Oryctolagus cuniculus: one gene and its partners. The protein of the gene in region 3 interacts with the protein of the main gene of each other region in a pairwise test. Links are inferred from orthologs where the notes say so. Each region holds a gene or a part of one and is shown on either strand. Other genes may lie near its edges. The genes, in order: SPMIP4, TASOR2 and KLHL40.

Region 1 (3,648 bases), on a different chromosome or scaffold from region 3:
GCCTGTGGGACTCTGGACCGCTGCTGACCTCCCCTGACAGAGTCAGAGGACGTGTAGTTCTCTGAGCCTTAGGGAATGCTTGTCACAGATGAAAAATAAAAAACAATTACAAACACCCAGTAAGTGATAAGGCAAAGTCTACAAGACCGCTTTTGCACTTAGGATTTTGTATCACCTTCTGAAATGCTGAAGCTTGTACAAAATAAATATGTTCAGCTCAATCTAAAAAAATGTTTAAATTGAAAGACTCTTAAAGTTATTTTATGTGTGCCTTTCATACATGTTTGAAAATAATTTTGTTTCTAAAATTTACAGTTGTAGAGGACAAAACTTAGCCCTGAAATAAAATAACACATATGTATACTGTTAGGTCATTTCATTTCATTTGCACAATTCAGCTGACAGATGATACTTTCTGTCCCTGGAGGCCTTGATCAGTTCTTTCAGGCCATTTCTTTCCCATAGCCAAGTGAGAAGTCTCTGTTGCTATCTGCAGAGAATTTATGGGCTTCTGATTGCAATTCAGGCACCCCTCAATTACTGAGACAGTTGTGAGGAAGCCTGTGTCTCAAAAGCAGCAGTAATGCACAAGATGGACAGATAGGAAAAGGTCCCCAGAACTTACTGAGAATCCCATTAAATTACTAGCTAAGGTCTATTCTTTGGTAAATCAGTTTCCTTGTAAGTTATTTTAGCAACTGCACAAGTTGCATGGTAGAAATAGCTACAAGTACCATGGTAGAAAAATCTTTCTCTCTCTCTACATATATATATTTAAAAAATAGCACTATGAAGAGGAAGGGAAACCTTGCTTATTTTTTCCAGGCAATTGACAGATCAGTTTAGAATTAGCTTCTGACATGGGTTGCAAAGTTTCCCTTTGCTAGCTTTAGCGTGGTCACCAGTATTCATGATACAAATAAAAAGTACAGTAAACAGGAGCCCAACCCCTAAGTAACTGAGAGTTGACTGTAACTACTTACAGGCTCTGGGTCAAATCCTATCTGTCCAGTTAACTCTGCTACCTCCTTTTCATGGTAATCATCCAGTTCAAGGGGGTCCATGGGCCCCAGACCTTAATGGAAACATTGTCTTATTATTTTGTCAGAGTAAATGAAAAAAAAAGGGGCTTGAATTACCCTTACCCTTTATAAGAAACTTACCCACTACCTTTGTAAGACTCATAAAAAGCCAATGAAATGAAAACCAACTGTGTCTCCCAGCTGACAATCAACAGAAACTGACCACCCACCTTAATTGATGGTAGTACTTGGACTGGGAAACAGAGAACTATTAGAAGGGGGAAGCGTGTGGCAGCCTTTGCCAGCTATTCCAGTTTTGCTGTAATTTCTACCTGTATTCAGGTGAACTCATACCTGTAAAGTTGTGAGTGTATGAAGTGATCCAGTGGTTCCTCTCAAGATTTCTTTGTATGTTGGCTTCTTTTGCAGGATAAATAGGGTCCCATGAATTTAAAGAAGTGTTAGGAGCGAAGGTTTTAGGAGGTTTTGGGTAGAATACTGGCTTAGTTTTATCAACACATTTAGGAAACTAAAATATGAACAGAAAGATTATTGCTGTTAATGTCCTCTGGTGGAGTAAGAGCTGATTCGTTACGTCAGCAGGAAAGAGGCAGAAGGAAACTCCAGGAAGAGTCAGACACTGCCTTTTCCCTCATTAGTTACAAATATTCTGAATCTGTCCCAGATATAAACACATCCTACTAAGGGAATGCGAAGGTCTTTCTAAAGTCTCTTCCTTAGCAGGGACTCTGACAACGTGCATAGGAGAAGTGCTCTGAATCCTCCACCTTGAGTTTTACTTCAGATACACAGGGCCCCAAGGCGCTCTTTGGGCTCAGTTTAGTTACAATTGTATGCCGCCTCCTATTTTTCCTTTCTTGCCTGAAATGAAACCATTCAGTGGCTTTTATGACTTCATGATGAAGGTGAAGTCACTCAAAGTTGTTTCCATTCTTGAGACACAGCTGTGGAGTTTTATGTGTGTAGGTAAATATGATAAATATGACTGAATTTCATTGCCATCTTTCTGGTTCCTTAAAAGTGCACCTTTTCTTAGATTGATGGAATCCTGGGACTGGATTCAAAGTCAACTGGTCAGGGGATTCTGAGGTCCAAGATCATAGCCCAGAATGGGAGATGGGGAGCATGGGCTCCAGATACATGTACCCTTTTGCCTCATAAATTCCTGGCCACACAGAGAGGCCACAGCCAGAGGAAGGCAAAGTTGGACCATCTCAAGTCCCTAGGCCTATGGATGCTGCTGCTTGTAGCAACCACGAGGGTGGAGAGATCCCCATCCTAACACACTGAGAGCATGTATGGTAAATGACACATGAAGTCCTGTGGGGCAGGTGTTGTGGCACAGCAGGTGAGCTGCTGCTTGGAATGCCTGAATCCTCTGTTGGAGTGCCTGATCTGAGTCCTGGCTACTCTGGACTTCCAATCCAGCTTCTGCTAATGTGTCTCGAAGGTTGTGGATGATGGCCTAAGAACTCGGGTTCCTGCCACCCATGTGGGAGATCCAGATGGAGTTTTTGGCTCTTGGCTTTGGCCTGACTCAGCCCTGTCTGTTGTAGGCATTTGGGGAGTGAACAAGTAAATGAAAAATACTGTTCTCTGGCCTTTCTTCTCTCTGTAACTCTACCTTTCAAATAAATCTTTAACCGAAAATTTTTTTTTTCTAAATCTGTGGCTTACTTATTCAGAGGGTAAAGAAAAGCCTTCTTTGTTCCCTTATCTTTTTCATTATTTATAGAGCCAGCTGACTTGGAAATATGAAGGACTTTTTTTTCCCTTCCAAATACTGTTTTTTTCTTTTTTTTAAAGATTTGTAAAATTTATTTGAAAGGCAGAGTTACAGAGAGGCAGATGCAGAGAGAGAGAGGTCTTCCATCTGTTGGTTCACTACCCAAATGGTGGCAGTGGCTGAAGCTGGGCTGATCTGAGGCCAGGAGCCAGGAGCTTCTTCCAGGTCTCCCACGTGGGCGCAGGGACCCAAGGAGTTGGGCCATCATCTACTGCTTTTCTAGGCCATAGCAGAGAGCTGGATTGGAAGTGGAGCAGCCGGGACTTGAACTGGTGCCCATATGGGATGCTGGCACTGCAGGTGATGGCTTTACTCCCTACACCACTGCACTGGCCCCCAAATATTGTTCTACTAATAGGAGTGGCCTACATATTTATGTACTCTATATGGCCTGTAGATCACATGTTCCCCACTCTTGGGGCTGGAGAGGAGGGAGAAGATTAAGAAGACCTTGGCAGATAAATAACAAGGCATCCTTGCCATGGATCCTGCCCTCAGAAAATGATTTCACAGAAGTGAGAGGCAGCCTGGGACGGGGTTTCTAAAAGCACCCCAGCTAGTTGTGATGTGTAGCTGAGGTTGAGGACCTGCTCCGGCAGGAGGTAAACACAATATAAAAAATGGAGCACTGCAGATAAAGCTGAAGCTCTTTGACCACCTCCTCCAGTTAAGTAGTGGGGAGGACAAGACAGGACCTTATCCTAAAGATTAAAAAATGACAGCAAAGATGAGCCATGTGTTAGTGCTGTCAAGTTCACTATCGATGTTATTTTTTATTTCTTTGTTCCGGAAAATGCGAAACTTGATTAGGGTTAGGGA
Region 2 (3,648 bases), on a different chromosome or scaffold from region 3:
CTGCAAAAAACAGCTGCCATCTGTAACACTAGTATCCTATACAGGCATTGATTAGTGTCCCAGCTGTTCCACTTCCAATCCAGCTCCCTGCCAATGGCCTGGGAAAAGCAGCAGAAAATGGCTCAAATGTTTGACCCCTGCCATCCATTGGGAGACCCAGATAAAGCTTCTGGCTTCAGGCTGGTCCAACCGTGGCAGTAGCAGCCATCTGAGGAGTAAACTGGTGGATGGAAGCTCACTCTAACTCTTTCAAATAAATAAATAAATCATATAATATATATATATATATAAGAAGTATTTATTTGGATAGTAATCAAAATTTGCCTGACTAAATTACATTTTCTTATGCTAAGGTGGTAATTCTTAATTGTTTTTTATGTACCTTTTAAACAATCAGATGAACTTTCTGAACTCCATCTTCGGGGGGAAAAAGCACATATATGACTACAATATACATAAACACAAAAATATGCATCTTTACAGAGGTACTTCAAAAATGAGAAAAGTTTATTTTGGTGCAAAAACAATTAAAATTCATGTATAGTTCTTTCAAAAAATGCTCTCTCCATGAATTTTTGAAGACTCCTTATATATGTACCCACATACACTGAATCTGACATTGACAAACATCTAAGCTGCCTAGATTTGAGTCTTGAGAATTTACTGCATGATTTTCAACAATTTCCTTGCTTCTCTATGCCACAGTTTGCTTATCTACAGAATGTGGAGAATAACAGTCCTTACCTCATTGGTTTGAGAATTGAGTTACTGTTATTAAAGGGCTTAGGACACCATCTGGCATGTATGCTCCCGAAATCTTAACTTTGATAATGATCCTGCTCATTTTGCAAGCCCTCTAAGGCTCATAAATGGAATGAGTAACCCCAGGTTTAGAATTATTGCTTACCCAATGTTAAGACAGGCATCATAGGTGCTATCTAAATCCATGCTAATTTATTCTAGAATAAATCCATACTGAAAGCATAAAATGATAGGCATTTTGTCAATTCATTTACTTAGAATTTTGTTACAACTTTTTGACTTGTTGCAGTTAATATCTGGATTATCTGGTGTGGCTGAAAATCAGTTAAAAACAGTAGAGTTCCTGGCTCCTGGCTTAAGCCTGATCCAGACCTTGTTGTTGCATCAGTTTGGGAAGTGAACCAGCATACAGATCTATTTCTCCCTCCCTGTCACTCTGCCTTTCAAATAAATATATCTTTTTTAAAAAATTTAGAAAATAAGTTGAGAGAGAATAAACAATCTGTTCCAAATGATAAAACTAATAACACAATTATGGTGAGCTTCCAAAATATTTAACCTATGATTTTTTCCTACTGTTTATTTCCATCAGGATGACAGATAAGATCCACCTGCAGAGAACTGAGTGACACTTAAAGAAAATCAAGTTTTTGGTCCAATAATCCTTGTATACCTAAAGAATTCACCTTTCTGAAGTAAACAATACCTTGTTTTGAATGTGACTTTATATACAAAAAACTGAAAATGTCTGCAAAAGTAATGCCAGCATTTACAGTATTCAGTCTTACCTCACTATTGCACGAATAGATGAAATTCTGGCTTTCTGAAGTATCTAGATGACACTTTCCTGCAAAAATTTCTTTCTGTTCATTCTGTACACAGAGTTCCAAGCCTTTGACAGGAGGTGATTTAATGAAAGGAAGCAAGCAGTTATGGTCAGGGAAGGATACTTCAGTAGCATAACCTTTGGAAGTTTCTTTTGTTTCCAAAAGAGGGTCTGCAGAACATCTTTCCACTTTGGGGAACTCCTCAATTTCACTGAGTTCAAAAGATTCTAATGTACTATTTATAGACACATATTTTGCTGGGTTGCTGTGTTCTACCACTTTTCGGGATGATCTTATGACTTTGTTCTGATTGCTATAAAACAGAGCTACCCACATATGCAGTAAAAGCTTCACTTCCTCCACATTATCAGGCAAATCAGTGTTCCAGGGCCTGAGATTTTAAAGAAACACACAAAAATCACTAAAAATAGTTCTTTTGGTTGCTTATCATAAAAGTCTCTACTATTAACTTCAGTTTTGCATTTTTATTTTAAAATTTAAACATGAATATGAAATTTGCAAATAACTCTAACCCACTCATTTACAGAGAATAGAATTGAAATCAAAACATGTAGGTGACTTCTTTCAGACCGTGAAACCTGTATCACCATCGTCTGAACATGGATCTCCCAAATCCTAGACCAGCATTTGCTTTTCTGTAACACAAACTTTTGCTGGACATGATATACTTAAGATATGAATAATGCTTTCAAAGCAACTACCCAAATCCTTATTGCCTTGGTTTTCCTAATTCTTGCTAATTTACTATAACACAAATAGAAAATACTTCTTATTTTTGTCTTCTAATCATTGAAAAAGTCTAAAAATTAGAATATCTGGGCAATTTAGCAGAATTGTATATACTGTTTTAGATTACAGTTAATATCACAAAACTACAAAATGACATATAAAACATTTCTTGCCTCTGAATGGTTAAAGCAAGCAGATAGAGTGGGAATGATTTAGGGAAGCTGCATTGTTAGGCTGCAGTTAAACAGGATTAAAGCTAAGGAAATGATTCTTATAAGGTTAAGTATATATGTGAATGTAAGTATATGTGAATAGGTGCAAGGGAAGAAATCTAACTGTAAATTCCATTGGGTCATTCCATATAGCTAATGCTAACTGCCAACAGTCATGGGCCAATCACTGTGCAAAACCCTAATATATGTAATCACCTCAGGATATAACCATTATGAAACCCATACTCTTAAGAGTGTTGCCCATAGACTGTCATCCTCCATTGACATCACCTGGAAATTTGTTAGAAATGTAGATTCTTGACCTCATCCCAAACAGACTACACCAGAATCTGCAGTTCAGTGAAATCCTTGGATGATACACATACACAATGAAGACTGAAAAGCACTGTCCAGAAGCAGATAACTTGCCCACAGTACAGAGGTGATAAAACTGGAAGAGCCTAGATTCAAACCTAGATTGGTCTAAACTGCAAAGCCTGGCTGTTAACTACCCTATTATTATTGCTTTAATCCCTTCTTAAGGAAGATTAATAGAACAACCCTAAATAAAACCACTCAGTTCCTATTACTCTGACCAATGTTTTGAATATTTCCTCATGAACTTAAGTGTAAAACATAATCTCTATCTCACACTACCAAACTACTTTCACACACAACATAACACTAACACTTCTTTTTCCTCAAAGTCTCTCACAGGTTTCTTGTCTCAGTACACTAATCTCAACAGAAAAGTTACATCATTTGCATTATATTTCACTCATACTTACCCATGTAATGCTCTTACAACAGTTTTTTCTAGTGGATTATTTGTATATTTGCTATCTAAGCTGAATGCATATTCTGCTTCACATTTGAATGTGACCTTCAAGGAGCCATCACAGCTAAATACGTTATGAGAGTAATAAACATTTTTAAGATTGGAAGACATCAATCGGCTCTTGCGCTTTATCAGTGGATCCTCAGAAAGCTTTTGTAGTGGGGAGATGTTTTGCTGATGCCGAAAAGGCATGACTTTTCCCACTGGGGTTCCTGCATCAGGGCCTTTTGTCCCATTCTTGGCAAAGGCAGGACCTGGT
Region 3 (4,317 bases):
TGACATAGACAAGATCCATATGGGACAGCACCGCATGGCCGTACACCACGTAGGGCAGAGGGTCCGACTCGCCCCACTTGAATGACCTGGAGGGGCAGGAGGGGGCAGGCTCAGGCACTTGTTCGGTGGTTTGCTGTCTCTGCATTCACCCCCATACGCAATGCAGGTTTGGGGTAGAACTATCCCTCCCTCCCTCCCGGCTGCCCACCCCTTCCCAGTCCCACCCATGGTCCACGACCTCCTGGCCCCTGCCAGGTCCCCAACCTGCCCCCAGGGCCCAGCGGCGGCCCCCACTCACAGCCTGTCGTAGCACAAGACTGAGTCCAGGCTACGCTCGCCATCCTTCAGCTCTCGGCCGCCCACCACGTAGATGGAATTCACAGCCTCTCCCAGGCCAAAGAGACAGCGCGGCGAGGGCAACGGCGGCATCCCCAGCCATTCTGAGTCCAGGTGGTCAAACTGCAGGCCAGACGTGCAGTCAGCTTCAGTCCCTGGTCCGACCCCATCCTGCCACCCAAGCTCCTTGCCTCCTGGTAGGGCCAGCACAGCCTAGAGGTGGTCCCTGGAGAGAGTACCTCTCCCACCATTAAAGCACAGTGACGGGGCACCCTGGCCCAGACTGAAGGGGGCGCTGTGGAGGGAGGTCCAGCTCTGGCTTTGGCCTCTTCCCCTCTGCAGCGTCCCACCAGGGTCTGCTGGCCCCTGCTCTCCACTATGTCCCTGACAACCTACAGGGTGCAGCCCTGGGCACCTCCGCAGCCTTGGTGGAGACACCGGGGGCTCACCTTCTGGGGTGGTTTTCTAAGAGCTGACGGCTGTGCCGATAAGCATGTAAAAGCATTGCTTAACCTTCCAATAAACCTATCAAGCGAGAAGAATATCCCCACTTAACAAAGAGGCAGAGAGAATAAACAAGGCGCTCCCATTGCTGGCGGAGCCACCCCCACCCCCCCCCCTGATCCACTGGCAAGGCCGGCACCACGCTGCCGTGCACCCCTCGTGCTGGGCGGGCCTCACTGAGTCCAGTGTTCGCCAGGCTCGTTCCTGCCCCCGGTCCTTGCTCACCACTTCCACCTTCCCCTTCAGAGAGTCCACCAGACAGGCAAGCCCACCAGACACGGCAAGCCCAGCACCTATCTCTGCCTGCTGAGATCCCACAGTCGCACCCCCAACTTGGTCAGGGCACTTTGCTCTGCTGGTCTTCCCTGGGTGTTCCGCAGTTGCCTTGGCCGCACAGTGGGGGGACCGGGCAGGATGGGCCTTTTGTCTGGGATGCTCTGTCCCAGGTCCCGTCCTAGCCCCAACATGCTAACACTGACCTTGCTCTTCCTCCTCACTATGCCTGCTCCCAACGCCCTTGGGCAGAGCCAGGGCTTCCAGCATGTTCCAAGGAGGGGCTCACATGCCCCCGGGAATGCACACACACCAAAGCCACGCAGCTCTTCGGCAGCTGCCTATAACCTTCTGTAACCTTCAGGCCAAAGGCTGTCTATCAACATCCCATCACCCTAGACCCGGAGACCTTGCCCAAGTGGCCCCAGCCTCCTCCTGGGCCCCAAAGTTTCGTCCCGCCCGGCTCTCCCAGTGCCCAGAGCTCAGCACTAACTGGTCCCTCCCAAGGCTGGCCAGGCACCTGCAGGAAGTACGCGCTCATGGGGTCCTCCTTGTTGTCCTCGTTGTAGAAAAGGCCTCCGGCCACGAAGACCTGGTTCTCCTTGGTCACCAGGCTGACGTGGTTCTTGGGGATCTGGGTGGAGAGGGAGGCACAGTAGCACTCGTTGGCTGCCGGGTCGTAGGCCACGGCGCCTTCCTCGCTGATCATGAAGATGAGGTCTTGCAGGAACATGCCGAAGCGCAGCGTGTCATTGAGGATCCCCGGAAGGACGCGTTCCTCCTCTTCCTCCTCCTCCTCCTCCGCCTTGGTGTCGCCGGCACCCTTGCCGGCCTCCTTCGCGCCGGCGGCCTCCTTCCCCTTCTCCGTCTTCTTCTTCTTCTTGCGCAGCGTGGTGAGGCGGCCCTCGTGCGCGTCCTTCACCATTTGCACCTTGCGCAGCAGCTCGGGCTGCGCGCGAACGAGGGGGTGGCGCTCCACGCGGCTCTCCAGGAAGGCGCGCGGCAGCAGGCGGCAGCGCACGCTCTCGAAGACGGTGGGCAGCGCGCGCTGGCGCTCGGCCTGCGCCTCGGCGTCGCCGCTGGCCGCCCAGCGCATCACCGCCTCGAACACCGCCTCTTCCTTCTCCACGTTGAGGCCGTCGCTGGAGATGATGGCGATGAGCTCGTCGGCCGAGAGCCCCAGGAAGTCGGCGTCGCGCGCCACGAGCGTGAAGCGCGCGCAGATGAAGTCGCGCGCGGCCACGGCCAGGCGTGCGCAGTCGAGCAGGAGGCCCAGGCGGAAGACGGCCAGGCAGTTGGCGAGGCACAAGCGCTTCTGCAGGAAGGAAACGCAGATGGTGAAGATGGACGGGATCTGGAAGCGGTGTGCCGCGGCGAACAGGTCCTGCACGCTCGCCTCGTCCAGCGCGATCTCCGACGTGTACAGGTAGTGCAGCACCTGGGCCACCACGTCCGGGGACACCTCCTCCAGCCGCAGCTCGCCCGCGCGCTCCGGCTCGGCCAGGAAGCGCGCCCGGAAGTAGGGGCTGCAGGCGGCCAGCACCAGGCGGTGGCACGGGAACTCGCGCTCGCCGGCACGCACCACGCAGTCCAGGAACTTGCCGTGGTCCAGCATGTCTTTGAGCCCGTCCTGCAGGAGCGTCTGCTGGTACAGCCGCTGCTCCTCTGCCTGTTCCAGGCCCAGCGCCATGGTGGGGGGCGTAAGGGGTCGCAACCGGGCCGGGGCACTCCTCTCTAAAAGAGCGCTGCTCTCCTGCCCCGGGGCGTGCTCAGACTGCGCAGTTGTCTCCCGGGCTATATATAGAGGCGGCCCGGGCCCTGTAAGGCGAGCTGCCCGGCCTCCCGCACATGACGCACGGCAGACAGCTGGGCAGAGGCCCCCTCCCAGGGCAGCGTTGACGAGCCCCCGGGGCTCATGGGATGGGGGTGGGGTGTCTGGGCCTTCCCCCAAAAAGGGGGCCTCCCTCTGGACTCCTTGGGCTAGTGATGGTCTGGGTCTGGGAGACCCCCCAGACCCAGAAGGGGGAGTCTCAGGAGACTTCTTCCGGGGTCTCCTTCCTTCGTGCCTCGTGGACCTATCTGCCAGGCCGCCCCCCCCCCTCCCGACTTCCTCCCTGGGGTTACAGCCGGCTCCAGCCACCCCTGTGTTCAGTATACATGGCATTCCTGCACAGTGAACTTAGACATGGCATACACTCTTGGGCCTTGCTGCCCACCTGTAAGATAGGAAGAGGTTTTCCTGATTCTGCCTGGCCTCTGAGACCCCCCTTCTTGCAAGACAGCCCTTAGGTAAACAAGGGGCTCCTGGGGCAGGGCTTATCTCAGCGCAGCCTCAGTTTCCCCCGTACACAGTGAGGAGGAAGAGGAGTCAGACTCTGCTGAGGTTGAGATGCAGGAGGACAGTGTTAGAGGCGTGTCCTGTGCTAAGGCCTCAGGCGTTCTAGAAAGCTCATTTCCAGGGATTCTGTTGTTGGAGGTGCTGGACCCCAGGGCATTCACGCTCTAGGGAAGCCACATTCCGAATGCTAGTGTTCAAAAAGTAACACCCTAGGAGTTGCATAGTTGAAGACTTTCACTGCCTGGCCACATTGTTCTTGGTCCATACTAGGCGTGGTCTGAGCCTGCCTGGCCTCTGGGACCCTCCACCTTGTCTTCCATCTAAGGGGTCTGGCTCAAAGCCCACCCTACTCTGGACTCCTGACCACCCCCAAGCATGCGCGCACACACACACACACCAGCCTCAGCCACCAAAATTAACTTGTTCCCAAAGTGCCGGAGGCTGCAGCTGTGGTTTAAATTTAGCCCGGGCACATTGGTATGAGTGTTAAGGGGCACTCTCCCCCATCATTCCTCTGAGTCACTTGTTTATAACCGCCGTCTTGCAGGGGGGAGATAGGAGAGAAGACCTCGGGCTGGGCCAGCACTGAGTCACCTCCCCTTTTGTGATCTGAGCAGCGTCATTGCCGGTCCCGACTGTGCCGTGCACCTGACCACCAGCAGGTCCCAGAGGGCCACGGTGGTCCTGTCCCTCTTTGCCTACAGGGCAGGGGCTGGCCCAGGCAGGGCAGGTGGTCAGCTGCCAGCCCAGGCCTGGAGCATGTGTAGTGAGTACCATCAGGAGGGAGGCTGGGCTCCGAGAGCCTCAGCGACTTGTTCAGGTCGCAGAGCTGGCAAGCAATGGAACCAGGCTTCCAGGCAGTCGCG

Evidence for each region.
Region 1: the proteins of KLHL40 (region 3) and SPMIP4 interact in a two-hybrid assay, tested with the Homo sapiens proteins (2 studies listed by BioGRID and IntAct). The two-hybrid records come from large-scale screens. The link is inferred for Oryctolagus cuniculus from reciprocal best matches to the Homo sapiens genes KLHL40 and SPMIP4.
Region 2: the proteins of KLHL40 (region 3) and TASOR2 interact in binary tests that used the Homo sapiens proteins (3 or more experiments, as listed by UniProt). The two-hybrid records come from large-scale screens. The link is inferred for Oryctolagus cuniculus from reciprocal best matches to the Homo sapiens genes KLHL40 and TASOR2.

The regions. Positions count from the first base shown.
Region 1 is NC_091447.1:16,946,981-16,950,628, forward strand, and holds part of SPMIP4 (sperm-associated microtubule inner protein 4), read right to left. Parts: intron 1,552-3,648; coding exon 1,377-1,551; intron 1,076-1,376; coding exon 984-1,075; intron 1-983. UniProt on the Homo sapiens protein: Microtubule inner protein (MIP) part of the dynein-decorated doublet microtubules (DMTs) in flagellum axoneme. May serve to reinforce and thus stabilize the microtubule structure in the sperm flagella.
Region 2 is NC_091444.1:79,647,631-79,651,278, reverse strand, and holds part of TASOR2 (protein TASOR 2), read right to left. Parts: coding exon 3,340-3,648; intron 1,981-3,339; coding exon 1,551-1,980; intron 1-1,550.
Region 3 is NC_091441.1:105,283,720-105,288,036, forward strand, and holds the start of KLHL40 (kelch-like protein 40), read right to left. Parts: upstream 2,897-4,317; 5' UTR 2,804-2,896; coding exon 1,634-2,803; intron 460-1,633; coding exon 299-459; intron 87-298; coding exon 1-86. UniProt on the Homo sapiens protein: Substrate-specific adapter of a BCR (BTB-CUL3-RBX1) E3 ubiquitin ligase complex that acts as a key regulator of skeletal muscle development.